4 linked regions of the Caenorhabditis elegans genome follow. The protein of the gene in region 1 interacts with the protein of each later gene in a pairwise test. Each region holds a gene or a part of one and is shown in the gene's direction. Other genes may lie near its edges. The genes, in order: hlh-11, dmd-8, unc-98 and ztf-2.

What was found.
Region 2: the proteins of hlh-11 (region 1) and dmd-8 interact in a two-hybrid assay, tested with the Caenorhabditis elegans proteins (one large-scale study listed by BioGRID).
Region 3: the proteins of hlh-11 (region 1) and unc-98 interact in a two-hybrid assay, tested with the Caenorhabditis elegans proteins (one large-scale study listed by BioGRID).
Region 4: the proteins of hlh-11 (region 1) and ztf-2 interact in a two-hybrid assay, tested with the Caenorhabditis elegans proteins (one large-scale study listed by BioGRID).

Annotation. Positions count from the first base shown.
Region 1 is NC_003281.10:9,618,500-9,627,819, forward strand, and holds hlh-11 (Helix-loop-helix protein 11), read left to right. Parts: upstream 1-3,647; 5' UTR 3,648-3,703; intron 3,704-3,768; exon of another isoform or gene 3,769-3,911; intron 3,912-3,980; 5' UTR 3,981-3,998; coding exon 3,999-4,048; intron 4,049-5,001; coding exon 5,002-5,277; intron 5,278-5,325; coding exon of another isoform or gene 5,326-5,330; coding exon 5,331-5,554; intron 5,555-5,771; coding exon 5,772-6,191; intron 6,192-6,440; coding exon 6,441-6,636; intron 6,637-6,825; exon of another isoform or gene 6,826-6,974; intron 6,975-7,284; coding exon 7,285-7,414; 3' UTR 7,415-8,029; downstream 8,030-9,320. Other genes in the region: tbg-1 (Tubulin gamma chain), read right to left, coding at 8,178-8,492, 9,048-9,253, 9,308-9,320. UniProt on the Caenorhabditis elegans protein: Transcriptional regulator. Component of a feedback loop involving atfs-1, atgl-1 and hlh-11.
Region 2 is NC_003283.11:332,893-339,420, reverse strand, and holds dmd-8 (DM domain-containing protein), read left to right. Parts: upstream 1-2,970; 5' UTR 2,971-2,982; coding exon 2,983-3,118; intron 3,119-3,274; coding exon 3,275-3,447; intron 3,448-3,496; coding exon 3,497-4,015; intron 4,016-4,286; coding exon 4,287-4,568; 3' UTR 4,569-4,820; downstream 4,821-6,528.
Region 3 is NC_003284.9:7,569,209-7,577,506, reverse strand, and holds unc-98 (Zinc finger protein unc-98), read left to right. Parts: upstream 1-3,917; 5' UTR 3,918-3,932; coding exon 3,933-3,956; intron 3,957-4,004; coding exon 4,005-4,082; intron 4,083-4,172; coding exon 4,173-4,283; intron 4,284-4,513; coding exon 4,514-4,582; intron 4,583-5,130; coding exon of another isoform or gene 5,131-5,150; intron 5,151-5,371; coding exon 5,372-5,506; intron 5,507-5,548; coding exon 5,549-5,731; intron 5,732-6,534; coding exon 6,535-6,867; 3' UTR 6,868-7,133; downstream 7,134-8,298. Other genes in the region: pcyt-1 (Putative choline-phosphate cytidylyltransferase), read right to left, coding at 5,131-5,150; Apyrase apy-1, read left to right, coding at 7,787-7,897, 7,944-8,087, 8,204-8,268. UniProt on the Caenorhabditis elegans protein: Probable transcription factor required for muscle structure.
Region 4 is NC_003279.8:7,288,017-7,294,579, forward strand, and holds ztf-2 (Zinc finger protein ztf-2), read left to right. Parts: upstream 1-3,255; coding exon 3,256-3,661; intron 3,662-3,825; coding exon 3,826-4,155; intron 4,156-4,208; coding exon 4,209-4,555; 3' UTR 4,556-4,936; downstream 4,937-6,563. Other genes in the region: srd-53 (Serpentine Receptor, class D (Delta)), read left to right, coding at 6,022-6,236, 6,293-6,389, 6,495-6,563. UniProt on the Caenorhabditis elegans protein: Transcription factor. Represses gene expression, probably via binding to DNA consensus sequence 5'-[AT][CT]TTCC[AC][AG]-3' in promoter regions. May play a role in pharynx morphogenesis.

The DNA of each region.
Region 1 (9,320 bases):
GGATCAAGTTACAGCAGCTGAGGTCCTCCTCAGACTTTCATAATTCATGTTTCATGCTTCGTATACTTTTTCCTGATCAATTTTTTACACAACAATAAATTGCAAAATGTAGGCATTTTTATGGAAAACATTTTCATATTAAACTTTGTTCCATGAAAACACCCAGTTTCAAAGTTGTGGTCTATTTAGAAATTCGATTCAAGAACTTGCCCGCCGGATGTCAGCAGCTTCAACTATTTTCAAAATAGAGTTTTATAAATTTGACATTAATATATATGTAGACCAGATAATTTGGAACATTTAGGTAGTTTAATGTATATTGCTAGCTATTATACATAGTTATTGAGTTATAAGTGTTTGAACAACTCAAGCACACCAGGCAATTAATTCATGGTGCATCACAAAAACGGCCATTCATAAGGCGCAAATTGCAAAAATTTTCGAGTCGCGGTGTATGCATCGTGCTTCCACAAAGCCAATACTGTGTAGTTCCTGATGGACATCTTGCAAATTATCTATGATCTAGTGACCAATATTCCCATCTGTTTGATTCGAACATCCTTCACCAATCCTCTTCCACATCCTGGCGCCAACTCAACCTCGAAGATCATCCGACCAAAAACACATGTCGATGGCATCCCGACCCCGTCGGTGCCCATCCACGTGCCCATCGTTTCTCTCGTTTCCTCCTCTCCGAAAGCCTGATGATCGTCGAACGAGTGCGTCAGAGACGCAGAGATATGTTCGGCGCTTCGCCTCCTTTTTTGCGACGAGAGCTACAGAGAAACGAAGAAATAGGAAAAGTATAGAGAAATTGTGAGATATAGAGAGATAGTGAACATGAGAGAGTAAGCAATAGAGAGAGAGAAGGAGGCGCCCGCTCCCTCAACCCCTAAGACCATTGAGGCGCTGCTGCTGGCCTTTAACATTTATGTGAGTGTGTGTGTGTGAGTGTGGTGTGTTTCTCGTCAGCTCCTTCTTCTCTTTTCCATCTCTTTTTTTTCCAATTTCTCCCTTTCTCATCTCAACCCCATGTTGCCTGTGTTGCTGCAGCAAACCGATCAGTCCACCACCACCACCGCTGTCTTCGTCGTCGTCGCCGCCGCGAAAAACTTTTTTCTCCCAAATGATTCGGAGCGTCGTCCCCCCCCAGCCCAGTCAGCCAGTCAGTCAGCCTGTGTATATGTCTATTTGTCTCGCAGTCTCTCTTCGCGCCCGGCTCCCCCATCTCTCGTCCCGCCGACGAACGTATTTCGATCGTCTCGTTTTTTCGGTTGTGTACCCCAATATCTAAATCTAGTCGCGATTGAACACCTGACCTATTCTGTCAAATCACACACACCCTTGCGTCTGTGACGACATTTATTTGCAACATGTTTCATATTGAATTCCATATGGTAAGAGTTCCATTTTTTTGATCAACAAGTTTCCTCTTGTTTGGAAAAATCTATGAAAAAGTTAATAATATTAATATAGTACCCATTATTACGAGTATTCAGGTGAACCCTCTTTCCATTTGACCTCCAAAAATTGCGGGAGTAGAAAACAGTAAGTCCCCACAATTTTAGAGGGGGTCTACCTCTATGATCTTACTGTACTCGACCATCATATCGTTCTTCCTAGATTTCTGATTTTCTGCCTCAAGTTTGTTATGATTCCATATGTTGTTATGTTTCTTTTTATCTTTTAGCTTTCTTTGTCTTCCCCCCGATAAATTATTTTATCTCTTATCTCACTCACTGTCTGGCTCGCGCCTACCGTATCATCGGAAACGAGCGTTTACGTTTGCCCCTTCGCTAGACAAGGTCTCGAAACGAAACGAGACGCGAACTGCAAACTTTTCTCCGTCTGTTTCTCCGTTGCGTCCAAATCTTCTTAAATCACTCTCTCCCTCTCTCACTCCACTCACAGCTGTTTGTGACCCCAACCAACAAAACTGGGGGCCGCGCCATCAGGTGTTTTCCCCATCCATCCATCTGTCTCTAATTCTCAGGATCCCTTCAGAAAATGTTTCTTGGATCGGTTGATGGGGAAGATCGCAACAAAATCCCTTAACCTTTATTTTGAATGATAACAGATCATTACCGTCCGAATAGTTCTCGATGTCGTTTTGTTCAGTGTCTTTCTCTTTTACTACGCCTTTGAACTGATCTCTTTGCCGATTTTGGTGATGTTTTGTGATCTTATAAGAACTATAGTGAGTATGACTATGAAAAATTGTTCCCAACCTTTAACGCGGTTTCAACTAAATCTTGACCAAGTTTTTCCGAAGTTTTGCCAAAACTATGGACGAACTTTATATGTATGTTATACACAAAAATTTAGGCAGGAAATTGCCTCCAAAAATTGAGAAATCTTCCTCTGAAATCTCCAATATTTTCACGATTAGACTCTATTAACCTATGTTCTATTAAGTATTTCATAAATCTACTACCAAATGTTTTCTAACTTTAGATACTTTGCGTGTTGCTCTATGTGCCCAGCTGTTCTCCCATAAATGCCAAACTTGACCAACTAGATCATCCCGTACACTTGCACACTACAGCTGATCAAACTTTTGTTTCTTTTTTAGTTTTATGATTATTATGTGAGAAGTAACTAACTTTTCGTAATTACCAAGAATTCTTAAACTAACTGGTCAACTGCTTTTTGTTGACTTGTCAATGGGTTCCAGGGAGCCCTCATTGTAAAAAACATATGGTAAGTGCAATTGGCTATCGTCTATAAGCTCAAGGAAGTTGGAACCAATTTTTTGTTGATATTTTTTTCTGTTTTGTCTTCTCCATTCCGTTTGAGAATCAGTTTGTGTGTTCATCGCTCTCTCGTTTCTCCGATAAATCGCTAATCAACATTTTTTCTCGGTTTTTTAAGAAAGTAGAAAGATCAAAACATCAAGAGCTCATATTTCATTTCTTGGGGTGAAATCTTGAAATCTAGCCTTAAATTCTTTTTTTTTTCTTTCTTTTTTTTTTTTTAAGACCGATTTATTCTTGGTTCTTCATATTTTATCAAGAGAGAATCTGAGCAAGTCCGTTTGTAACTTTTGAAAGACGTTTTGTGATTCTGCAAATTTATAGAGAACTGATTGTTATTAAAACATGGACTCTGTCGGCTTCACGAGATAAGCTCATCGTCAGTTAAAAATAATTTCATTACAAGAAACTTTCGGTTTCTAATTCCAATTTTGGCAATGTTCTGATGTTTCGATTACTCCCAAACTCTGATCATTCAAATTAGTATCATGAAACATTTTAAGTAAAAGTTGTTGCATTAAACACCTGAAAATGGATCACCTGTTCTTTCCCTCTCATTTTTTCAATTATAAACCCTTCAGTTTTTCTATTTTCTATACATTTAAAACCTATTTCATCTGCTACACTGAAACTGCCCTCTTCCTCACGCCTTTTTCATTTAATTTACATATACATTGGTACCTACCGTATGAAATAGACGAACTGCCCGATTTTGAATTATAAGTCGGTGTGTTTCGACCCTCGATTGCTTCCTCTTTCCCCTCATGTGTCTGTGTAAAACATGCCATATGACACACTGACAAACTCTTTTTTTTTTCGATCTTTCCCCTTCAAGAATTTTCGTGAAGCATCAGCTGTTGGTTTTTTGTCGCAAATAATTCCAATTTTGTAAAGTTTCAGGTAATCCAGACGGCTCCCATCGTCCCTTCGTAGTCTCCGTAGTACTAACAGTAAGTATTTATTTCTTATTTCAAATAATTCGTGGTATAATCATTGTTATCTTTGCCCCCAAGTGTTGCTTATCACAAAGATTTTCAGCTGGGAAAAGAGCCTATCTTCTTTGATTCTACAAAGAAAATGGCATGTCAGCCAGTCAGCCAACATAGTGGGGGAAAGGTGATAAGAGTTACGGGTTTCGGGAAACTTTTGTCGGAAAAAGAGAGAATAAGGAACAAATAGAATTTCAATTCGAGAACCTCAAAAATCAAAAAAGAAAATTTTTTTCAGGTAGATCAATAGTAGAAAATGGTTCGTTCGGATAGCGCAGAAGAAGATCAAATCATCATTGATGATGGGTAAGGATTTTTGTACTACATTTTTTGCTCATGGTTTTAAGAAGAAACATTCGAAAAGTAATGTATTGACATAAGTCTAAGCCGAGTTTTGCTTATAATCATAATATGGTTGAATTCCCGCCTTCTAGGCGACTAGGCAGGCGGTCTGAAGACGTGCCTGCCTACTATATATATATATATATCCAGGATCAGACTCTCATTTGATGAAAGTATTAAAATCTGAAAATAATTCGAAAATAAACTTTTTTTGCTCCCTCTAAACCTATCAAGTTTCCAAGTGAAGTGTTAAGTCTACAGTAACTTTTCAATAAATAAAATTCAAATAATTTCCCATGGCTTTCAATTCGTTCTCAGTGACACGCAACAAGAACACCTGGCTTTTAGAGAAAAACACAATATAGAGACGCAGATGAACTTTTCCTCAATTCTAAAACTGCATGTGGCAATTTGTACTAATAATTTCTCATAATTTTTGGAACAGAAATATTGAGATGTTAAATTGAAGCTAATTTATCCCATTTTCTTTCTTTTTTTTTGTGGAATCGTGGCATTTATTGAATTGATAGGTTCTAATTGTAGATGAAAAGATCAATATAAAAATCAGAACAACTAAAGCTAGAGTTATTTTAATATTAGTTCAAATGTTACCCATTGTCGGCAAAGTTCAAATTTAAGGTCTAAAATGTGTTTTATCACTTTTGGAATTTTTTTTTAAAATGCATTTATAATAATTTAAAACGACTTTGTGAATTTCCAATTTTTAAAAAATATGTTTTTTCTCTATCCTCAAAGGAGTACTGTACTGTAGTTGTAGAATAGAAAAATATGAAGATATTCACGAAAAAGCTTGCGTCTTGAGAAGGCATTAATTGGAAAGTTGAAGTTAATTGGCCCCAAATTATTTGATAAATTTCGCTTCTTGAACAACCTCATCTACGAACACATTTTTGCAGATTTGATCTAACTGAAGAGGACGAGGAGATGATGAGTTCGGGTACAGGTGCATTGCCCGTGACTATCGCCGACTGGAATTCCGTGACAAATGCACGAATGGCACCACCATCCATCATGTCAGCTGCTTCGGCATTTGATTTGACGGCTTCTGGAATGCAGAATTCGTTGCGTTCTGTCTTGCCTACCTCGACGATTGGGCATGCACCAATGCTCGCCAACCGGTCACTATCCCAACCGGCGCCACTTTCACCAACGTCGCTCGACCCCGACAGAAGGTTAGTTTTATAGCACTGAAAGGTGGTGAGTACTGTAACTTTATATAGTATAGATCCAGAATGCGTCGGCAAATTGCCAATTGCAACGAGCGGCGGCGGATGCAGAGCATCAATGCGGGATTCTTGGCTCTAAGAGCCTTACTTCCCAGAAAAGAGGGAGAAAAGCTGTCGAAGGCGGCTATTCTGCAGCAAACTGCGGATATGGTTCATCAACTTTTGGGACACAAAGGAGAAGATATACCTGACGGTGGAGAACCCAAAAAACTCAAACTTGAAGGTAAGTTTATATCTTATTGATATTTTTGAAAAGTGGAGTAGGATGAATGGAAACTGTGTTTCAACAAAAATCTGGATAATCTGAAATTCTGAAATTCCACAAAATAATTCCAGCCTAGAATGGCCTGAAGAAGTCTAAATCTTACTGAATCGTGCCTACCCTAAATCAGTTCAAACTTGAAATTAATATAAGCTGTTCAAATTAAATTTTGTTTCAGAAGATCACCACGACGCTGACCATCAAGCGCAAATAGCACATCTCCAAACAATATTAGAAACTGAACGAGCCGCCCGTAAGGCTTTGGAGAGTCAAGTAATTCAGCTCCGTGAGCTGCTCCAAATGACGACAACATCATCGCAAGCATCGTCACCAGTGACACCAAGATCTAATGGTTCTGGTGGTTTCACATTGCCATCTTCATATGCTTCATCGGCTCTTCCTACTCCGTTACGAGAATCACCGGAAAGGAAACCATCATTTCAAGATACAACAAGTACTCCGTTGTCTCTTTTGACACTGAACGGTAGTCCAACTTCTTCTGAATCATTGGCGTCTCAACGTATATTCCATCCGCCTCCAACATTGCCAAGTTTAGAGACAACTGTTATCCGTCCTACACCACTACCACCAATATCAGGTAATTTTTGGAAAGATATATTCAAAATTAGTTTCAAAAAGATTGAATGTCCAAACAAAACACTATGAAACGTTTGAGATGTTTCAAAATTTCCAGGCAATATTTTGGTAAATTACCAAATTTTTTTTTTGGAAAATTTGGTCTTTTGGGAAATTTAGAGTATTAAGGCCTAATGCATGGTAGCATTTTTTGAAGCCCTGGAATATTCAAATAAAACTTTTTGACTATAAATATATATAAACATTTAAGTTGAAATATCATCACCATCTCTGTCAACTCCATCACCTTTGACTGCCGCTCCAATAATCTTCTCAACAGCAGTTCCAACTCAATCGAGTATTTTGTTCCAAACAGCGGCGGCAGCGGTCACCTCGGCCATGTCTACCGGTAACTCGACACCCGTCGCATTGCCACATCATCTGCAGGGACATAATTCTGCGTTTGTGTGAGTTCTGTATATTTTATGGGGGAAAAATTATGAATTCAGTTTTCTGTTTTGAGAGAAGAAGGCTGTATGTGGAATGATCTACTTTCAAAATTCAATTTCTGAATTCAAATCTTCGTTATAAATTTAATTTTTAAATTTATTTTATGCTGATTATTAAATTTCAATTAAATCTTTTTTATAATATACTCTATACAGTCAAAAAAAATGTTGTGGTTACTGTAGGTTGCAATATTGCTATTATGAGGTCGTAGAAAAATCCCCCTTGTAAAATCGAGGACCGCCCCCAACAGCTGGGTCTCGTTAGGTATTGGGGGGCCAAACCAGTAATTCAAACTTTTTCTATTAGTTTCGCCAATGTTTGAACATTTTGCGTCTTTCTGGGTACGTATGCCAAATTGATTTTAAAAAAACTTTCCAATAAAAACAACCATTTTTCCAATAAAAACAACGAAAGACGAAAAACGACGAAAAACTCCTGAAAATTGGTACAATTATTTAATGACAAACGTTTGAATTCACGGATTTGCCGCCAAATACCTAACGAGACCCAGCTATGGAGGGCGGAGATTTTCTACGTCTGCATAATAGTTCTCGAGCAAACTTTTCGAATTTTTAAAAAAATTAATATGTTGCCATCAATTCCAGAAGCACACAACCGAGCCTGACCCTGTCTCAATCAATGCAAACAATTGTTGAAGCTATTCGTCATTTGGAGGGAAGTCATTTCATTCCAACATCTCCTCCACCAACCTCACAGACATCGCTCGTCCGTTGAGCCTGACTTTTGACAAATGTAGAGTTACAATTACAAATACAATTATCAAATTTTCCACGTTTCATAATCTCTCTCTCTTTCTCTTTTTCTCTCTTTCTTTCTTCAGGTTGATCCTGTTTTTTGCTCTTCATCTTTTTTCTCTCTCTCACCAGGCACAGTATCTATCATTTTTATCACAAAATTTGATGAATTTTTGTTCTTTTCCCATTTTTCTTCTTGTTTTAGGTATACTACTTGTTGTGTTTCTATGAAATGTTTTTTTCCAAAATTTTTTGTGCCGATTGTGGTCTTCTTGTCATTTTTCTTCTAATCAATCTAGCTTCCTTATTTCCCGCGCTCTCACGGACCTATCCATTGTTTCGTTCTCCCCACCGATAACTTTTTGTTTTTTCATTTTCCTTTTTTTCCAGTCTTGTTCATCTCCAGACACTGCCCCGTTACTTTTACACAAATCGTGTCGATTTCCTCTTTTTTTCATTTTTCACCCGGTGGTTTTGTTGACCGTATGTGCAGCTTGAAACACTTTCATTTTCAGACCTCAATATGTCTCTCTATTGCTATCGCGCAATAATCATAACTAAATAATTTAAATAAACCTCAATAGTACAACCACTGAGACAAGAGTACCAATATTTATGTGAAAATTATGATGATGATGAGGAGCACATGATATAAATAATACAATAAACACAGCATATGATAATCGACAGAGATCCGTTTTAAGAAGTGAATGAGAATCCCGCGAGAATAAATAATAATAAATCTAAAGCCCTCTTGTCAGATAGTCCTTTTGTACGACCGCCTTGTACTCGTCCAGCAAGTCTTGCACAATGTGCATTGCATCGTCCATCATATCCAGCGAGAAATTGTCAATCTTTTCAAACTTGTCGATGAAGGCTCTCTTTGATCGTAGTTTGTCGTATTTGGAGAGAAGCGATTCGAATAACGGAGCCACGCTTGTGCTGTTATTGAGCAAGAGTCCAGATACTTTGTATTGTGGCCGAACATATGGAGAGAGTGGAGCATGCATCATTCGAAGTGGTTTAAGCATGTAGAATGGAGGCCTTCTGATTGCGAACTGAAATTTGATTTTATTGATTTGATGCTTTAAGGTGGATTATAGAAAAATAACGAAAAAAAGTCATTATTAATCACTAATTTTGTCTTTAAAATAGTGATTTTATTGGTGCATTTTTGATTTTCTGACTAATGTGTTATTTGAATTGCCACGCTTTTGTCAAATTTCCAAGTTTCTAAAAATTTTTTACTTCATGTCAAAAATACTTTTTAAAAAAGTTTGCTTCACAATTGCTGATTCGTCAAAATAAGCGCTCATTTTTGCAATGTAATTTGAAGATTTTTTTCGTTTGCAGTATCTCGGTATTTGTGACCGCCTTCGTGTTTTGAGAATAAAATCTACATCTCCAAAATTAGCTTACGAAAATTTTTCGTTTTTCCGATATCTCGAAAAATATTTTTTAAAGTTGCTTATTTTTATTTTTAGAAAATATTTATATGCTTTCTTATAGTTTTCATGAACATAAACAAAATTTGATAAAAATTGAATTTTATGGTTGATTTAGTAAATTTATTTTTCAATTTTCCCGGAAATTCTTTAAAGTATTGAGCTTACATCAACGTTTTGCTCAGCAGTCATAATTGTATGTGCCTCAATTTGTCCTTGAAGGAACATGTAAGCTGATAGCATGCAGTCATTTGGCCGAACCCGAGAAGCAGTTGAAACCATCATTGAAGTTGGTTTTAACAAGAAGCGAGTGACGTCAGCGACTGAAGTTTTTCGGGTAAAGTTCTCATTTGGATCGACAACAGGAGAGATAGCTGCAAAAAACAAAATAAATAGATAAAATAACATATTTCGGAATAAAAACAAACCGGATTGAATAAA
Region 2 (6,528 bases), on another chromosome or scaffold:
TTCAAATTCTAATTTTTCAAAATTTCGACAGGAAAATTAAATTTAAATTTTTAAAACAACTTTAGTAAGGAATTAAACTTTTTACAAAAAATTCAGAAATTAAATTCCCGTGGCTATTTTTTCGAGAAAATCAGCATTTAATATTTCAGAAAAAAAAATTGGCGGAAAAAATTGCACAAATTTTGAAATTGAACGACAAGTTTGATTTTTTAAGGAAACTCAAAATTTTATTTTAAAAAATCTTGCAAAAATTCAAATTAAAAGTTTTAATTTTTTTGAATAAAATTTTTTAAATTAGGGGGTTTCAACTTTTTTTCCGAAAAAAAATTATTTGAACTTAAAATGTTTCATTTTTATAAAAACTAAATTTCTCATAACTTTAGTGTTTTTTTACTTTCAAATTTGAATAAAAACCACCAAAAATTGATTTTTTTCAAAAATGTTTGTCAAAACAGGAATCATGTCAGTAACCCTCCAGACAATCATGTTTTGTGAAACGTACCCAAATCACGGGGGACCAGTAGTGTCTCGCGGTGTCTAGAACAATTTTGGACAAGCGATCAGAAACGTGTACATATAATACATATAAGTCTAAAGTTAGAAAAAATTTCTAAAAACAATATGTATGTTTTTAAATGTTAAAAAAAATTAAATATAGAGTTGTTTTTTTGAAAACTGGCAATATCACAATTTTTGCCACTTTTTCGAAAATCAAATTTTAAAAGTAAAAATAAATTTCTTCGAGCTTTTTTAGTCTACTTATGAGTCAAATATATGGGGCAAAACTCAATAATTGCTTTTTTTGACTGTCCATAAATTTTTTTAAAATTGTTTTGAAAATTTTTATTTTGGTATTTTGTCATTTTACACAATAGGAGTGGTTTTTAACAATTTCTTAGCTGGCCCGACTGCATCTTCTACATGAAAACTCAGGAAAACCAGTGATCTCTCAAAACTTTTGAAATTTTTATGAATAGCATTGGCCAGCATCGCATTTTGAACCATCTTATCCAGTGACGCAAAAATTTGACTTGACCGAGTCAAGCCGGTGCTTATCCAGGTACTTTCGAACAACGTGGCTTGGAGCTATCAAAAATGATAAGCAGATTGAATTTTGACGTTATTGGTGTCAAAACCAATGTCACTAGGTATGGTTATTTTTAGGAGTGCAGGTTTTTTTTGGAAAATAAAAAAATGTAACTTCATTAATTTTTTCCAAGAATTTTTCTTATGGGTTGATTTTTTTCAGGCTTTCTACCTACCTCCAAGAAATCTTGTTGCATTCTATGTTTTCCTATTACCCCTATTCCACGTGACAAAATATAGATTTCCCCGGTGGGAGCAAGAATTCTTCAAAGATTACGGTAGAGCGTCTAGACGGTGGCAAAAAAACAAAACTTGTCGATCAGAAATGAGCATTTCCCAAATGAGCATAAACTAGTATAAAACAACTAGTTCCTACATGTTTTAGTATAGTTTTTTTAAACATTTTTTTTACTGGAAAAAATGTTTTTTTTGTGCAGCCGACAGTGATCGAGGACGGTACAGAATTTTTTTTTAACCTTGCGTGTAAAATTTGGTGCATTGGAGTCGGTGAACGAGGCTTTCGGGCTTGCTTGCCAGGCTCCTTTTCAAATTTAGATCGAATTTCATTGTTTAGAAAAAACATTTTAAAAAATTATTCCATTATTTAGAAAAAGAAAAAAAATCATTCAAAACAAAAAAAGCATGATAAAGGCAATCACAGAAATGGATTTAAATCGCCTAATAATTCAAACACAAGGGCTAAGCAATGCGAGAAAAAGATTAGCAATCGTCAAAATCCGCTACAGATTTTCTTATATTTTCCACACAAAATTTGAAACCACTCTGAGCGATTGATTTTCGACACAATTTGTCATCCGATTTGTTGAAACTTCTGAAAATCTTTTTAGTTTTAGTGTTTTTTTGTGGTTGTTATGAAACATTTTGCAATGATTTTCAGCTTGCTCAACTTTGAATTTTCCAAGGTTTCGTAGGCGTAGACCATAGGCGTAGGCCATTAGCCATAAGTGTAGGTCATAGGCGTAGGCAGTAGGCGTGGGTCATAGGCGTAGGCAGTAGGCGTAGGCCATAGGCGTTGGCCATAGGTGGAGGTCATAGGCATATGTCATAGGCGTCGGCCAGCAAGTTTTTCAAGTTTTAAAAAATTCGAGTGTTTTCAAAACGAGATGAGCACCACCTTTTTGTGAACAAAATGAAATAAATCGGCTTTTAGTCCAACTGCTCAGTTGCTCCATACTGATCCGCGTAAAACCCCGACCGGATTGCCCCTCCTTATCTACGCAAACTGCGAATCTACGTAATTTCCCCCATCGACATGAGAATTCCGTCATAGCTCCGCAGAGCCAAAATAGAATGTTTACGGCGAATTTTCTCGAATGAGTGGGGAGGGATGGCGGAGACGTTAGACATGGTTAGACAGCAATCAGGGATATTCAAGAAAGAGGCGGAGCCGGCAGATACAGAAAATCTTTCATTCCTGGATTGAAGATGGGAAAGGCGGATGAAATTTTATTTATTTATTTCGATTCCATTTCATTTGTGAATTCATTTCGATAGCTTTTTTGCTCCAAGGGGAGCTAGGTTACTGTAGATAAGGGAAATTTTTGGTGGCCGAAGAAAACTAGAAAAACTTCGGTCACGCGCCCAAGCCTCTACAACTTCCTGTTTTGCTTATGCTTTCCCTGAAAATTTCTCTGAAAGCATCGTCTATATAGCCCCCAGGGCCTTATCAGGCGACTAGTAAAACATGTCACAAGATTTTTTTTCAGACAAGTGACTGAAAGTACTGTAAATATTCCATTGACGCAGTGTCTATAAAATTTCAGCCAATCAGGTCATCAAGCTCAAGCATCCCTTATCTTGTAGCCCTCACAATTTCATTTTGTGCTTCAACTTTTCCAACTCTTGAAAAATGGAAAATTTCAGACTTACCTGATCATGTCCTCATCTTCCCTGTCATCTTCTTCAAATGCCTCATCGCTCAGTGCTCCAGAAGGGCTTTCACCAAACAACAGCCTCTCCCCGGATGTTGGAGCACAGAGATTTTTCAGCCAAGGGAAAAGGATCCCGAAAGGTGAGCTATAGCTTCTTAGCAGCCGACAGTTAATTGGTTTCACGAGAAAGGGTCAGTAGAAAAATGTATGGTTGGTTAACTGTCGGCTGCTGATTTTTTTTCAGAAATTAGTATGGCCTACGCCTAACATAGTTTTATTTTTTGTTAAATTTTCAGATGTGAAACGGCACTGTGGAATGTGCAAGCAGCATGGAGTTTTCGTAGAGACGCGCGGGCACACCTGCGAATATAGAAGTTGCGAGTGTGAGCAGTGTGACTTGGTCCGTAAGCGACGGGAGATCATGTCAACTCAGATTCGTCTCCGACGAGAGCAAGACAAGAAGTTCCAGGTACCTTGTGATTTTTTTCCTAATTTTCCTAACTATCCCCGTGTTTCAGCGTACCAATGATATCAGCGAGGCCAACGTGTTCCCAGGCTTCACAGGTGGGGAGGCAGATGAAAAAGCTGTCATGGAGAACATGAACATGTGCTATTTCTGCCAAAAATGCAAGAATCACAATGTGCTCGTCTGGAAGAAAAATCACAAAAAGGAGTGCCAATATTCCAGCTGCGAATGCCAACAGTGTAACTTGATTGATTCCCGTCGTGCCCTGGACCGGCATATTAAGAAGCGAAAAATGAGCATAAAGGGCAACACGGTTGAAGCTATCGCACCGAAAAGTCCCAAAAAAGAGGGCTCCACCACGGCTTCATCATCGTCACTCTCATCTTCTTCGGGCTGCAATTCGGACGAGTCGGCTTCATCCTCGGATTGCTCGCTATCTGGAATGCTATCAGAGAAGTTGAACATGGCTCCGCAGGTTCAGATGAAATTCGACTTCAGTGCCGGGGGATTTATGATTCCTGCAGCGACTTCGGCAAATGCAAGCACTAGTCCGGCTGGTTCTCCATTTGAGGTGAGGTTCAGATTTTCTGAAAATTTTTTCAGGTACAGCTTGAACCTGAAAAGGCATGTGGGCATGTAGGCATGTAGGCATGTAGGCATGTATGTATGTAAACCTGTAGGCATGTAGGCATGTAGGCATGTAGGCATGTAGGCATGTAGGCATGTAGGCATGTAGGCATGTAGGTATGTAGGCATGTAGGCATGCACTAGTCTCGTCCTAAAAACTGCTCTAAAAGGTTTTTTCCAGAATTTCTAAAATTTCTAAATTAAATTTTTTTCAGACAACATCTCCAATGCCGCTTCTCCTTCCGCATTCACCAATTGCTCTTCCACAACTTGCTCCATCAAGCCTACCGCTTTCATTTCTTACCGTACCCTCTCTCATGTCCACCGCGGCCTCACCATTTTTCACGGCTCCGCTTATGTACGGAGCTGCTCCAACTCTTTTCCCGAATCCTCTCCTGATGACCCCTATCGGAATGCAAATGTTGTTCCAGAACTTTCAAAATTTTCAGAATATCCGTGAGCTTAGCGCTGCAATTAGCTGCGCTGAAACCGATTGATTTTTCTTTTTAATTTTTCAAAAAAAAAAACAATTTCCAATCTGTGATTTATTGTCTTTTCCCTGTAAAACTCTAGTTCCTTCCCAGTTGCACCTCAAAAAGAGTAAAAACCCCATCGAAATTTTAAGCTGTGCGGGTTTTCAGTTCAAACATGATGATAATAATATTTTGATGTTTTTGTGTTTTATATTTCCAAAAACTTTTTTTTGATTCTGCAAAAGTGATAAATTAATAAAATTGTACTCTTATCAATTTATGACTCGACTAGAAATTGAATTATAAAGTCACGGTTTTTACAGAGAATTTTCCGAATTTTCAGCCACCATATCTGGAATTAAGCTTGGATTTAGAAATTTCACGGCCTTTTTTGCATAAAACGTCAGGAAGCAATCCCATATATTAAAAAAAAACTAAATGTTAAAATTCAAATATATATTTTGTAGAATTTTTTGTAATTTTTTTTCAAATTTTGCTATTCCAAAAATAAGCTTTCCGGCTAAATTGAGCAGTTTCACTTTTTTTGATTTTTTATTTGAGACGTGATCTGTCAAATTTGCATGCATTTTACAGCAAAAAAATTAATGTTAAGTTCAGGCCAGTTTTAGAGTTTCACCCAATTCCTTTCGGCCTGTCAAGTTTCCTTTAATGACAATGGTTGAAAATTTGAAAAAAATGGCCGAAAAATTCATTTACCAGTGAAATCTCACAATCAGATTTTTTTCAATTTTTGAAAAATTTAAAATAAATCTTTAAAAAATTAGAAATTTTGTTTCGGTTAACATGACCTGTTTTTTTGTATCTCTTCAAAAAATCTCTTATAAAAAGCGAACTGTAAAGTGTCGGCTGCTTCCTAGAAGTTCTCGTTGTCTTCACAAATCACAAATAAAGAAAGAAGTCATGTCACGATCGTGCCCTCGAGACGTCATATCAAATTCTATTGCTTATCAATGTTTCAGTGCCCAACCTGAATCCTGAGTCACCCGAGAAAATGTTCTTGTTAACGACTCGAGCCGGTACTAGTGATTTCATAAGTTTCTTATCAGCTTTATCAATAAAAAATGTTTTTAGTATCGTCTTCGTAAAAGAAAAATGGAATGCCGGTTTTGAGAATCACATAGAGCTTGTGATTTTTGAGATGACGTGAGGAAGTCAGGTAGTATAAAATAAATTACGTTTGAGTAACTTTAATTGGATTTACTTTGGTTTTTTATTGTTCGGTGCTCGCCACGACATCATGCCTGCGTGCCTGCCTACCTACGCGCCTTCAGGGTGTGGTGGCAGTAGGCAATCTTAGGCTAGCACGCCAAATGCTCAGGTTCTGCAAATTTGTTTTTTGGTGTTATAAAATTTCCCTTCTTCTCTATGTATCCTTATCGAAAATTGTTGATTATGGAATTTTTCACACAAAATGCGGGTTTTTTCCTATCAAAATTTTGGAAAATGTCAATTTTTTCCGGACAAATTGACATTATTGTCACGGTTTTAAAATTAGGTATAAAAAAGATAGACGGATGCTCAAAATATTTATTTTTGACTTATTTTTAAATTTTCAAAAAATATTTATATTTTAAGAATTAATAAAAATAAGAAATGTAAGAAATATTTCCGAAAATCTGTTATTTTTCTACCAGTTACCAGCTTTTCAACCAGCCTACTTTCCTGCCGGTGCCTGCTTTGGAATTTCAGGTTGGTAGGTAGGTTGGTAGGCAATGTATTTTGAACCTTTTGCAGTAATGAATATTTTTCATGAAACTTTTAAAACATATACGATCTTGTATTGGCGCCTATCTGAAAGTTGCGTCAGACGAAGGCCGGCTTGCAGGCTGACAACTAGGCCTATACGGAACACAAGTTGTTTTTTTATCGAGAAAAACTGAAAATAATTTGATAATAGAACTTTCTGTGCCACTTTTGAAATTAGCAAATCACGAAAAAAATAACGAGCAATTTGTGACCGTTT
Region 3 (8,298 bases), on another chromosome or scaffold:
GTCTAAGGAATTGAAATGTTTGTGTCTATTCTTGCCAGAAAATATAAATTTTGGCTTTCTGGTGCCTTTTAGATATTGGAAGTTTTATAAACATTTTTCTACATCCAGTTAACAGTGGAGTATCACCAGTAGGGACATTCTTAAAAAAACACTTCAATTGTGCAAAAATTACAAAATTTCATAGTGAAACCTTTCGAAAAAATATACAAAAGGTTTATTGAGAGTTACTGATATTGCTTTTTTTTGAGAAAACTATAGACTGCCGCATGTTCGAATCCCTACAATGGGGGAATATTAATATTTGTATTTGAAATTAATGTTGAAACATAAGTACTTACTTACTTACTTACTTAGTAGACTATAAAATACCAATGTAAAATTGTTTGATCGAAGACTACCAAAACAGTGGCAAGAAATTAGTAAAGATCATTTTAAAACAAAATAACAACTTTTCAACAACTTTTTGAAAATTTTACTTTGATATTGGATTAAACTGACACCTTATAAGTAGTTTTAACAACTTCCCTAGTGGTGCTACTTCACTTTTAACAAGTCTGTAGAATTTGGCACCTGACGCGGTCATTATGAATAAGATCGTGGCGAGACCCAAAAACAACGTGTGCCTTTTAATTGTTACGTCAAAGTTTTTTTAATTGATAAGTCAAAATTATGATAGCAGTTTCATTTGCATTTCTAAAAACTTATAAAAAAACACAAATTGTCAGATTAAAACTAAACTTAAATTCCACATCTTAAAAAGCACTTGTTATGAACGATAATTTTGGATAAACTTTATTTATTTACATAGGTATATAGTATTTATCTCATTAGTCTTGTTTGCCAAAGTGGTACTGTCATTGTTGTTATCAACAATACGCGTCAAAGAAAATTTTTGAAAAACTATTTTAAGTGATCATAGATTTCAAAGAATGGATGTGATATACCAATGATAAATACATTGATAACGTTTGGAAAACACTATTAATCATAACAACACATACTTCACCTTGTAAATTATTTTATTGCAGAGCCACCAAAGTTTCTTCAAATATATAAGATTCCGTTGGTTGACCCCAACTGCTCAAAAGTTTAATTGAAAAAAAACGGCAAGATAAATTTTTATTACACAACTTTTCTGATAGAAGTTTTGCTCCTAGTGTTAGGATTCTTGAACACCCATTACAACTCCAAACCCAACGGTACAAAGGTAAAAAACGAAAGTTAGTGAGGTGATTTGATTCATGCCATAATTGACGCAATAGATCTGTACTCTTAGAGGTTTCATTGACCCATCCATTATTGCTTGCCAAACGTTCTCTTATCTCATTTTCCCCTCAATCTGTCCACACTTTCTTCTCTTTGACACGAAAGAATTGAGGCCAACTGATAAAGATACAACTCAAAGAATCACTATACAAAAAGGTCATTCTTCGTGTTCATTTTTTCATGTTTCTCTCTACCATGAAAATATGACGTGCCGAGTCGGTGTAGTGCATTAAGAGCAAAAGTCAAGAGGAACCATTACAGAAAATGTTAGGGTGGTTTGCTGGGAGAGAAATTAGTTGTTTATGAGAAGAAGAGAAAAGAATGAAAAATGAGACTCTGGACTCTGGAACTACTCTGATTTCATAGCATTTGATAGCGGCCACCACTGCGGTAATGCACGTTTATTGGAAAAGATGGAATTCGGATTGAAAGTTTAATTTTCGGATTGGAAAACGATAAAGGTGATTTTAAAAAAATCATTTTCATAGTTATTCATCAACTTGAGACGGAAAGTTGGAATGTTTTCATTGACGGACTAGACAAAATATGTTGACTGTTACTTGGTAATAAAAATAGATAGAATTTGTCATTTGAATTTAAAAGTTATGAATTAAGGCATTTTATATCGAGTGTGATGGATTTCAGGTAATTCTCTGATAATAAACGCGAAGAAACCGGAAATATAGACATGGTGCGTTGTTCTAAATTCATATTCAAAATGTTCCTCTGCCCACAAAATGAAATTAATATTTGACACTAAAAACGAATGTAGTATTAAAAAAAGAACCAATAATTTGATCCTATAAAAACGTTTTAAAATGTACCAGTTTTTTTAAATTTTTATTTATTCGTTTATTAGCTTTTTACCCCTTGAAATTTATCAAGGGGTAAAAAGCTAATAAACGCTGCGAAGGCGGGGCGGGAACGTTTAACCGGTAATAATGTAGTTTTACTGTTCCATAAGGGAAGATACTTATGTAAGAAGTTTTTGTGAGGCCACAAGTACACAGTAAGTATGGAAATCTAGGAGGTCCGGCTTTTCTGACAAGAGAGGATTTTATAAAGTAGGGCTATTGGTTCGTGGTATAAACGTATTGACTCAAAATGTGCTGGAAAAAAAAAACAAATTTCGTAGTGAGTCGCTTGTTCTCTTTTAAAACTTTATATTTAGCCCGAGTAGTGAGACTGTTTCATATACCGTATTTCTTCTATTAGTCTTGCATGCAAGACTAATTTTCCATTGGTCTGTAGGGTTGCAAGACTATTAGAGGCTGCAAGACTAGTTTTCGAATGCCCCATCTTTGAAAAAATGACCTATTTTTTGTTGAAAACTTAACTCGATAGCTTGCTGAACGATAAAAATATATACTTTTGCAATATTTCATAAATTATTTGATCATTTTCTAGGTTATTTTCTCAAAAATATCAAATTTGCTGACGTTTCCGCAAAGTACTACTGGTCTTGAAAAAAGAGGGATGCAAGACTATTAGAGACTGCAAGACTAATAGAGGCTGCAAGACTAATAGAGGAAATACGGAAAACTGTTTTTTAATGAAAAAGGGTCTGGTTACTTTATACTTGTTAAAAATTTAACAATTAAATGCATTTTTGTTGTGTAAAATTTCAACATTGGTGCACTTTTAGCCCGCTTGTGATGCATGAAAGAAAGATCCGATCAATCCAGAAGGTGGTGCAGCTCCAGTAAAATGTTTATTCCAATTAAAAGTCATAAAAGTCCCACATAACCGTTTAGATTCTTGAGAATTTTCATTCAAAGTTGTGGTAAATTGCCACAACTAGAATAAGTTGAACCTATGAAAAATATTAGAGCAATTCTGCATTTTTTTAAATGTCTACAATATATGTATATACAAATGATCAAATCATAGTTAGAATATGAAACTTGTATGTAGAAAAAACTATTTTTGCCGTGTTCCAAGATTGTGATTTGTGAAAACTGAATGATAACTACCTTTTTGAAAGCAAAATTATTTTAGATTATTTATCACTGTATAAAGGAGTGATTACAAAAAATCACCCTGACCGATGCTTCACATTTAAAACAATAGCTTCATAATCCTGCATAGTTTCAAATAATAGTTTTACAGTATGTAATTTAATATTTTTACAATTCATATTGAATAATTTCTAAAATATAAACTTCGTTGATCCTTTTCGATTATTATTTCAAAAAAAAAGTACTCTTTCTTTTGTTTGTACCCACATCTCCAAATCATTTGCACGTGTTCAACGTACTACACAAAATGTATGTCACCCACAAACACTAGCATCTGTGCCATTCATTTCAGAAACATGATTCCGCTTTGAAGTTATGTCGAGCACTGCAATCTAGACGCTTTTTTTACTTGTGTCGTCAAGATCTCTTTCTTCTTTAAGACAGTTGAGCAAGATTGAGGGAGACTGCAGACACAGAAGTGTCCCGCAAAACATCCAACGAGGAAAGGAAATGAGAGAGCGGGAGCATTTCAAAAGAGCACATCAGATCCAGAGATTGCAGAGGCGATTTCTCGCATTTTTCGATCGCGACGAGTCTCTTGAGTTTACACTGTGTGTTGAGCACCCCAGCTAGCCACACCGAGCATTCTACCCTCTGACAATTTTCACCCCCATTCCGACGACTAACCGCTGATATCCAGATACAACAATGGATGACGACATCTTCAAAGAGGTATTGTTCTTGATCACTGTGAGCTTTACTTAAATTTGAATTTTTTAGGCAAGAAAGGAAAGAGATGACTTCGAAGAGTTGATGAATGCCTGTGATCTTGCCAAGATGTCCGTGAAGAACAATGAAGTGAGTTAGAGAAACCGAGAGATGACGGAAAAACCGGAGAAAAACGCGGGGGTGTCTGTATTGCGAAATGATTAAAAAAATACCTTCCAGATGGTTCATGGTCTAGAAACCTTCGGCATCAATGGAGAATCGTCAGAAAATGGAAATAAGGAAAAGCCCAAAGAGATCATGAAAGTTGTTGCCCCAACAGTTGAAGCATATGTGAGTTTGGTAAAATTTAAAAAAAAGAATTTCAGAGATTGAAATGTTTGATAGGTTTTAAGGCAAATTTTTTTAAATGTTTTTAAGATTGGATTCATACTGACATTTTTCAACCCTTGGATACAAGTGAAAAAATGTTGAATTATCTGAATAGTGTCTGAAAACGCTTAAATACTTTAAAACAGCGCCATCCTAATTTGATTTTAAAAGCATCAAGTAAATTATTGTAGGTCGGAAGTTCAAGTGCTCAAACTCCAACAAAATCGAGTGGCGGTGCTTTGGATGGCAGTGATCAACAGGTTTGTTTTATTGTTTTTATGAAGTGTGTGTTTTTGTGCATTTTTTGTTGAATAGTTCGTGCTTTGAATAATTTTTAATTAAAAAAACATTGATTAGGAATGTAGTCTATAGGTTTGTACAGGCAAAATTTCCGGAGAAAATGAAACTATATTTTTTGAGTTGTTTGAGAGAAATTGTTAATTTTTTGCTGAATTTTAGATAGTTTAGAAAAGGTTTTATTTTCTAATTTTATAATTAGCATACTAGTAAAAACTTATTTGCCAGAATACACAAAGACAAACTCAGTTCTAATTTAATTTAAATTTAGCCCATTGTCGAAGTAACCATGTCCTGTACATTTGTTGGAAGAGAAAGCTCAGCAGGATGCTAAGAAGAAAAAAAAACAAATTATGATTTTTGTTGTTTGTGATTTTATTTTTCTCTTATCATTTTCAAATACTAACTTGGAATATAATTTCTTGCTGCTCCTTATGCTTTTTTCCTTCAACCTATCCATTTCCATTCTTCTCCTTTCCCAAGCTAATTCACATGGGTATTGTTGACTTACTCTTGTTTGTGAATAAACATTTTGCTGTTGTTGTTGAAGTTGATGCGCTCACTTTCAGCACACGAACCAAATGTGCGGAATATAGATGTGAGCATTGACAGCTTGAATGTGAAAGAATGAGGGAAATGGGAATAAAAGGAAGAAAAATATAAGATGAAGGAAAAACTGAAGAAGGGAGGGAATGAAGAAGGCGTTAAATGAAAAAGAGACTCTTTTAGTCGATGAAAAGTGATTATTGCAGGAAGTGCGTCAGGACGGAACTAGTGTGCAAAAAGATGACAACGGATTTGTATTCTACAAGTGTCGTTTCTGCGGACTCACATTCAACTTCATGAACACTCTCCGTGCACACGAGAGAATACATGACGTTTCACAGGTTTTCATTCGCTGGATTACTTATAGAAACTCTTTGTTTCAGCCATATGTCTGTGGAAAATGCGGAGACTCATTTGAATTTGCTTGCCAACTGGAATATCATGCCGCTCAGCACTCAGAAATTGACGGGTACAAGTGTGAATGCGGAAGGACGTTCTTTTCTTACACGGAAATGTTATATCACAAGCACACGGACGATCCACTCGAATTGATAGGTGCTCCAGAGGTTTGTCTAATTGAGAAATCTGAGAAATAATAAATTTACTAGATTTTACTAATCAGTAGAGCTTTTTGAAACAAAATCTGAATTACGAACTTCTCGGAAAAAAATCAACAGAATCTAGCTATGGCTGTTTTAATGTTTGATTTTTTATTCTTCAGTTCTTTCGACTCAAAATCTATCAAAACCTTTTCATCCAGCCATTCGCTTTTCAATTTTGTATTTGGTTTTCATAGTCCTTGATGTGAGAAAATTGTGAACAAAAACTTTGTGTGTCTTGGCTTTCTGACGTAAAAAAAATATTTTTCTCAACAAAAAAAAATTGCTGATAGCCTGTGAGAGGGTGCAATTTGATACGACTGCACTTACTTCTTGCATCACAACTGTTAAACAGATGGAATTTCAGTGCAAAAAAAAGAAAACGTTATGAAACAGAAGTTATGAAACCGAAGAAAGTTCCAAATTTAAAAACATGTTTTGGTCGTTTACCTTACGTTGTTTTGTTAATGAAGATACGTTTCAAGCAATTAGGGACCAAAAATTACCACAATTTGCTACCTAAGTCTTTGTGACTGGGAAAAATTGAAACAACTCGAGTTTTTGACTGAAATTTGGGTATTGCCTTTTCAAAATTTTGAACCCCCATAAACAAGTTTTTAAGTAATTTTTGAGAAGTAGTATTTCAAATTTCGTTCGTTTGGTTTTGTTAAAAATCACACGGAAAAAAAGCCGAAACCGTTTTTTTACTTTAACAAGGAATACATTTGTGAGAAGAATGAAGATTACCAATATAATTTGAAATACTTCAGACAACCACAATAAAAGTAAGCAAGAAGCGAGTCCTACCGGTCTCCGAGCAAGATCTTCCACAGCCAGCTTTCGTTACTGAAGGATACGAGCCGAAGCATCCACTCCGAGTGTACAACGACGTTCGTTCAAAACCATACATTTGTGAATATTGTTCGAAAAGCTACTCTGACAGTCGTGGTCTTGCATATCACATGTACAGTCATCGTGGAGAGAAGTACTTCAATCCTCGAGCATCTCGTTATATGATGGGAAGGGAAGGAGTTGGGTACACTGATTCCAGAAGCTACTATTTATTCCCAAGAACAAGCGGATACGTGACTCCGCGATTCTGAGCAACCCCTGAGTATTTAAAATTTTTCTAATTTAGTATTTAAATCTATCCAGATCTTGTAAAATATATATATATTTCAACATCGGCTAGCTTTAACAATATTTGTCCTTCAAAATGTATATTCGATATGGTTCTTTCATATAACTCATATTTCTTTCTTTCAACTAAATCAACGTTTTTCTTTAGTGTTATCGTTTTCTCATTTCTTGTCATTTTGTCTTTTCCTCACATTTTTAAGACGCTCGTTATAAAGACGGTCAGCAGCAGAAACTCGTTTTGTGTTCAACATAAACTACAATTGACTACAAAGCACAAAAATCGTGTGTTTCCAACGCACTCAGACACACTCTATAAATACTGTTCTCGTCATGTCTTGTTGGTATTTTCTTCTTTCCCTGAAATATCGATTCCTGGTCAATCGTACAATTGGGACCATGTTAAGCGGGAAAGACATTGACCGCTAGCACAAATGTTGTCCGGCTCTCTCACAATCAATCTTTCTTCTGTGATGTGTTACGACAACCCACAACCGATTTTTTGATAGCAAAAATGATAAGATGATGATAGCGAGACAGCTCAATTGTTCGTTGTTCTAGAAGTTGTACGTTTTTTTAAATTTATTTTGCATCATTTTGAATTCATTATTTAAAAATGTATAAAATTGTTTAATTAACGGTTCTCGAAATATTTTGCCACTTCACAGCCACGATATCTCACTCAATAAAGCAAATGCAATTTGGGACACGCACTTGTGTTCGTTATTAATATCGAGTCCCCATTGAAAAAACTAGGCCACGCGGCCGTGAAGTACTCTCGGAAAACTACACCATTTTTTATTTTTTTATTCTACTTATATTTTCTCAAATCTCTTACTTTCAATTAATGCTTATAATTAAGACTCACAAAAATAATTTTTAGGTATGACACAAGAAAGTAACTCAAACTTTTTCAACTTCCTTCTTTTCGGGTTTGTGACCGCTATTGCCTTTTATTCGGGTACCCAATTCAACAAATCTAGCGAACAGGAAGAGGTAACTCTTTACATTTTCAGCTGATTGCGCACATATCCATTTACAGCACATCAACCATGCTAACTTGTATTCGGTAAAGAAGTTTGATGATGGAGCAAAAGAATACTCAATAATGTTGATCACCGATTTGGATCATGACAGCAAAGACGGGAAGAAGTGGAAAAGTTTGGTCTCTCGTGGATTTTTGAAGGTGAGAAGGACGGCAAGAAACTAATGCATTATGCTCAGCTTGACCAATATGATTTTTATAAAATGCAACTTGCTTTTTTCGAATCGCTATAGGAAATTTTCAAATTTATATTTCAGGTTTCTGCAGACCACAAGCATGCCGATATTCATTTTGACAAAGACTCGGAGTACTATGTTGACACGTAAGTTTACAAAATGTGTTTTTATAGATT
Region 4 (6,563 bases), on another chromosome or scaffold:
GTTTTTGTATTGATGACCCGTTGATAAAGAAATTGATAACCGAACAACGCGATAGTTCAAAAATAAAATAAATTTTGAACTTTTGAATTGTTTGACCGGTCATTTGAAAGATGGATTGTGATTACATAAGGCCCTGTAGATTTTCTCAAATTTTCATGGTATTATATTTAGTAGGATTATTTAATGAGAGTACGAAAAAGTTTGGTTACGTACGTACGCCATACAACAGCCAAAAAATCAGAGTTTCTCTATTCTGAAACTTGTTACCGCTTCAGGCTCTTTGGGCCAAACTTGGGCAGAAAGCTACCAAGATATTATTTGCAAGCTTTTAGCATTTCATTTTTTTCCAAATTAAAAGAAAAACTACGCCTTCCCAAGTATTCAATAATCTATTTGTTGCCAATGTGTTCTGATAATTTACAGTGAATTGTATAATTACAAGATTCAACTTTTTTAAACACCATTTTTTTTGGTAGATGAGAAAAGGTGATCGTTCAAAAATTTCGGTCAGGGTTTTTGTGAAATAGTGCAGTATACTCTCATCAATTTGTCAATTTGAAACTTGACATGGCTCATACGCTCCACAAAGGGACCTTCAATTTTTTTCAGGGATTTCCCGATAGTTATTTGTGATTAGATCTTTGAAATCTGAAAATTCAATCGGAAAAATTTGATTTCAAGAAAAAATGAAGCCGCATCATTCATTTTATTGTGATCCGCAGGCAGGTGACAACAAATAAATAATTAATCATAATTTTATGATTATGTTCCCTGTTTTCATTTCTTTTAAAATTTATAAGCAGCTGGAAATGTAAGAAAGAATGCTCGGAGAGCAAACTAAATGATTGTTATTTGTTTTTTTTTTTGACCACAAAGATGTTTACCAGTAACTACATATGATAAGTAACTACATAATCTGACCCTAAAACTTAAGTTTTTCAAAGAAAAACGAAACATTTCTAATTATAAAAGTTAATATTACTACTCAAAACGGATAGGACTAGTTTTATGTATTTGCATTTTCGTGTTAGCGAGAACTAAAATAAGTTGTACTTTTAATAGACTTTCAACAAATGCTTAACTACTCTTAAAGAATTGAGCTTAAATTGAAATCAAATGAAAACTATTTGTTGAATCACTACAGGCAATTTCCGAATAAGTCTAAAATTTAGTTAAAAATCTTTTTAATCCTCTAGAATAAAATTTTTCTGACATTCTAATATTTATGATCATGAACGTTGTCTATTGCTCTTTGATTTTTTTGAGGCGTTCTTCACATTCTAGTGCAGACGAAACGGAGCCAATTCTCAAACTTTAGAGTCTCTCTGAAATAAATGAAAAAATTGATGAAAAAACGACTACCATCTCCCTTAATTGTTCAATTTTTGAACGAGAGGCAATTTGTCTGAAAATCTGGAAAAAAAAAGTATTTGCATCAATTGCCCTTTTGTTGCCATTCGTGAAACTTGCACACTCAGCAGCAAGTGATTCCTCCAGCCCACACGTTTTCGGCGCAAAAGTGTAAGTGATAAGAGCTTCAACTGGTACCTCCTGGAACCGAGGAGCTGACAGTGCTGCTCTTTTTGGCAGAAACTAGCGAATGAGCACAAATGCACTTTTACTTTATCTAGGTTACTATAACCGATGCTTCTTCTATTACCTTTACTTCCTCCATTTTACTCCTAAAAACTGCTTGTCATGTGTTTGAACTGTGCGGGGCCGCCTTGAGGTCCTTTCCGACCATTCTGTACCAGGTTGTTCCTATTTGGATTTCCTCGAAGAAGTTGAGGGCGCGAGAAAAAACCGAATGGCTGCAGGAGACGCCGCGGCGATGGTGGTGGTTACGCAAACTGTGCTTGAGCAAACATGTGCCTGAATTGAAAAAGAGAAGAAGACGATGACGATTAGGAACAAGAAGGCATTGAAGACGTTGAAGAAGGTCATCTTTGAAATTATGTTCAAATATGTTTTGGTTCTAGTTACCCTAGATTTCAAAAATACTTGAAGTACTCTAGAAACCCGAGTTGATATTTGTAAGGTTTATGTTAAACTCTACGTCATATTTTGAGTAACTGCCTACCGTAGTTTTTACACTTATTTGAAAAGAAAAAAGCACCTAGCTACTTTTGTAAGTTCATATTCATTTTAGGGCTAACTTACCTGTGCCTGGTAAAAGCCCACAAGACGTCTAGAATTACTATTGCAGTCTTTTCAAATACGTTCTTTTCTGGAATGGTTCTTGTTGCCCTGGATTTCAAAAATTCTCTAGAAATCCGAGTTGGCAATTTCATGCTCGGAAAGTGCACTTTTTTTCGAAAGATGATCGCTCTCAATAATTAACCTTCATAATACACATCATACTCTTCTTTTTTGCATTCACTTACAGTAAGCACTAGATATCTCGGAATACTCTAGTTGGGTTTGAAAATCTCCACGGTCCCTTTTCTATTTTTCTAGCCGTCCCCTATATCCACCTACAGTAGCCTTTGCGCCTGTACCTCTGCAGCACTATGCCTAACTGGGAGCAGGTGAGCCAATACCAAATAACTTTCCCAAAACTCTTTCTCCTCCCATCAACGGTCATCCGATCTCAATATGGCCACGTCATGCTCCAACTTCACGTACGCTTTGGCTCAAAACGAGTTCACTGACCGAACTGTTTGTCCAACCAAAACCTTGTGGCCGAGCGCAAGAAAGAGTTGTGTGTTGCTGATATTTTGTAAAAAGTAAACGTATCCTCTTCCTCCTACTGCTGTTGCTGTGAAAGTCAGTCAGCCCCGGAAGTGAACAGTTCGCTGATGCGACGACCTCCCACCCTTCGGCCTCCTCCTCTTTTTCCCCCAACAAAACTTGTGTCAACATACTGTGGTAGGAGCGAAAAGGTACCGCGCGCCCCATCCGCATTTTGCCATATCCATTCCTTCCCGAATCGGCGCTTGCTTCCTGGTGACCCTTCCCTTATCTTGGAGCAACTTTCACTTTTTCCACTTCTTATCTCCAATTCTCTCGTCTTTCTAGACAAAATAGATATCAGAATGTTCCTCCAGTTCCAAGTACATTGATACTTTTTCTTTCTCCAAATTTTCCCACACCTTCTTTTCATTACTTTTTCTCATTCGTGGTCTACTCTTTCTTATTTTTGATCTCGGTTCAATATTAGAATCTGCAAACTTAACAACTGAAAAAATAACATTTCTAAACTTACTATAACATTTCCACTTTTTAATTGCATTCTTTAAATTTCGTAAATTTAAGATGAATTGTGAATCGTTGCTCACTGCCCTTGACGTATCCACTCTACTCTCAACTCTTTCCTCACCTGAAAAAGAACATCGTCGTAAAAGACGACGTGGTGAAGTAGCCAATCCATCAAACACTCTTGATGCTCTTGTTGCTCGCAAAGCCGACGATCAACCATTTGAAAAGAGATATCTAAGTGAACAAGAAGCAATTGAAGGACCAGATGATGAGATTGAAATGAAAAAAATGGAATTGGATCCTGATGTATCTACACGCACCTGCTCTACCTGTGGTTACCAAGGAAAATGGGTGTCTGAGATGATTCGTCATAAGAGAGTTCATACCAGTGAAAGACCATTCAAGTGTCGTTATTGCTCCAGAACCAGCAAGTGGAAGGCTGACCTTATTCGACATGTTGCAAGTGAGTTCATATTACTTTTCTATTACTTTAGGTATTTGAATTCGCTTTAAACCTTTTGTAATTCTGTCAGATTTGAAGTTTGGCAGCTTAGAACAATTTTTGAAATGTAATCAATTAGCTTCTGCTATACCTGAAAATGTATTCTCCAACCTCAATAATTTCAGAAACTCATGGAATCCGTGTTGTCTCCAAATACAGCCGTTCGAAAGTCTTCGATGCCACCAACAGTTCAATGGATTCTTCGTGTTCTTCAGACTCTGATCGATGCATAATTTCTGAAAAGAGAACAGTGTTCTATCGTTGCCAATTGTGCTCATTTGAAGATGAAAGAGTATCTGTATTGAACAGTCATGTAAGCCATCTTCACAACACCTCCCCATGTGTTTGTCGATGTGGCGCTAAATTTGAAGATGTCCAAGGAGCACTTGCTCATTCCAATGGTCCATGCTCCCATGTTGATATGATTTACAACGTTATGCCAACTTATGAGAAAGGTAAACCATAATTTTAAATAGTTTAATTTCATGATTTAAATTCCTTTTTTCAGCATCTCCATTATCCCCGTGCAGAAGCGAATCCTCATCAGACAGCGGAATTCAGACAGATCCTGAAGAAGAAGCATCGATTATTACATCATCCCTACCAACTCCTCAACTTGGATCATCACCTCTTCTGTTGTCACCAACACTTCCAGTCACTCCATCTTTCCTTCCAGACATTCAATCAGCTCTGCTGAGCCTTCAGCCAAATCCATTAATGTCATTATACTTGGCATCTCTCCTACAATCTTCCTTGTTGAATAGTCCAACTATTCCAACATCTTTTCCACAAATCATCCCAACTACGATACTTACACCTTCTCAACAAGATGAGATGGTTGACGTTGAGATGTAATTCTTAAGATCTTGAATCCATAATCTCAAAATTTATAATTAAAACAATTTATCACTTCTTTACTTGAATATCTCAGGTTCATATACTCGAACCAATATATTTTCTGTTCTACTTAGCCAATCACGCACACAAACCCCAAAAAAACCCCAAATCTTAGGTATCTACTCACATACGAATCTCGTCTCAACTCTCAGCTTCCTGGTGAATTCATATTTTCTTTGCTAATTTTATTTTCCTTATCTGTTTCTACTATACGAGTCATGTTTCTATCACACATCCCTCCATATTTCTCTATCACATTTTTCACCGATTTCTCTTTTTTTCGGGATTGTTCTTATTTATATCGTTACGAATATTTGGAAATATACGCTTGTTTAAAAAAGTATTATCACCACTGCATAAACTCATATTTTAAGCGATATTATTGATTTGTATTTGCTCGGCATTTAGTGCCTCCTTTCTCCCACCTTTTGAGGTCTTCTCACCTTCCGCCCACCTTTTTGCCACCTGCTCCCCACCTTTTGTAAAAATATCACAATTATTCAACAAATACTCGAAATTCAGTCGCGTTTGCCACCTTTCTCCCACCTATTGTGGTCTAAAACAGCAGCGGCAGCGTTCTGGTGACACCAAAACATGTATTTGTGATTTACAACAAAAAATCTCGATAAATAATTTTGAAAACAATAATTCTTACATTTCAAAATCTGCCTACACCAGACCTGGGAAACGCTTATTTTTCCTACCTCATTACTGCCAGTTCACTAACTTGCTTCTTATCTGGCCTGCCTACATACCTTCTTTGTTCCTGTCACGTCCGATTTTCCTTGGTTCGTCTAATTTCTTATTTTATCTAATTTATAAAACTGAATGTTTTTCTACCCGTCGATCAAAGCATTTCAAACACATAAACTATATTTCCGAAGTTATTCCATACATATAAGGCTTTTGTTTGATTCGATTTTTTTTAGGTGGCATTATTGAGGTTCGGATGTTAAACTATTCCTAAATCACGCCCACGTCTGAAATCTCCAATTTTATATTAGTATTATTTAATTATTTTGATCAACTTCACAGATCCATCCCGTCAAAACAACAAAATTTCGCTCATCAACTCATAGAACAGGCAGTGGCTATATCAGTAATGTATATTCTCAGAAGCAAGAACAAAATTTCACGGTTCACCGCTTTTTCTAGATTAATGTATACGTGAGTTTCACATGCTCCCATTTATAATTTCAAATTCTAGCACTGAACTATTAGATTCAAAATGTGCTTTAGTTGAATATCAATAATTTCTATCTAGGTACCAGCTATCATATGATAAGGTCCTTTGGGAAAAGAACACGAGAGCTCCGCCTGATATTTTGCTCATTTTATCATTATCGTGACAGACACGGAAGAAGTCATTTAAACCATTTTTCATTCTTGCTCTAAAATTCTTCTAAAGAAGCTCAACTTTTACCATGGATCTTTTTGGTTCAAGTTCGAATCGTTTTGTTCCAATAATCAACATCTACTTTCATTTCTACCTTGTTTCCGGTTTATTTTTTCAATGTATTCTGATGATTCTTATCATTCGAAAGTCTCCCAACAGCTTGAATGACCTCAAACTGTTTCTATACAACACGGCGTTTTGTCAGATTGCAAACATTCTTTCTGCTTATTTTATTCAATATAGGTTAAATAGTTTTTTATTGTTGAATGTCAGACCAATATTTACTTTTCTTGTTTCAGGGCGTTACCCAACACAACAACTCTAGCGGTTCTGGCAAATGGGCTGTGTAGGAAATTCGGACCGGAAGTCTGTTTTGGAACTTATCATGTTTATTTGGTGTGTTTGAAAAAATAACCTCTAAAGTTGCAATTAAAAAACATTCACTCACTATCAGCTCACTATCAGACACAATATATTTTTAACCAATTTTTTCTTATTTAGGGTATCAGCTCAAGTGTAGCTCTTTCCATTTCAACAACCGTTATGTTTCGATATTCTCTAATAAAAAAC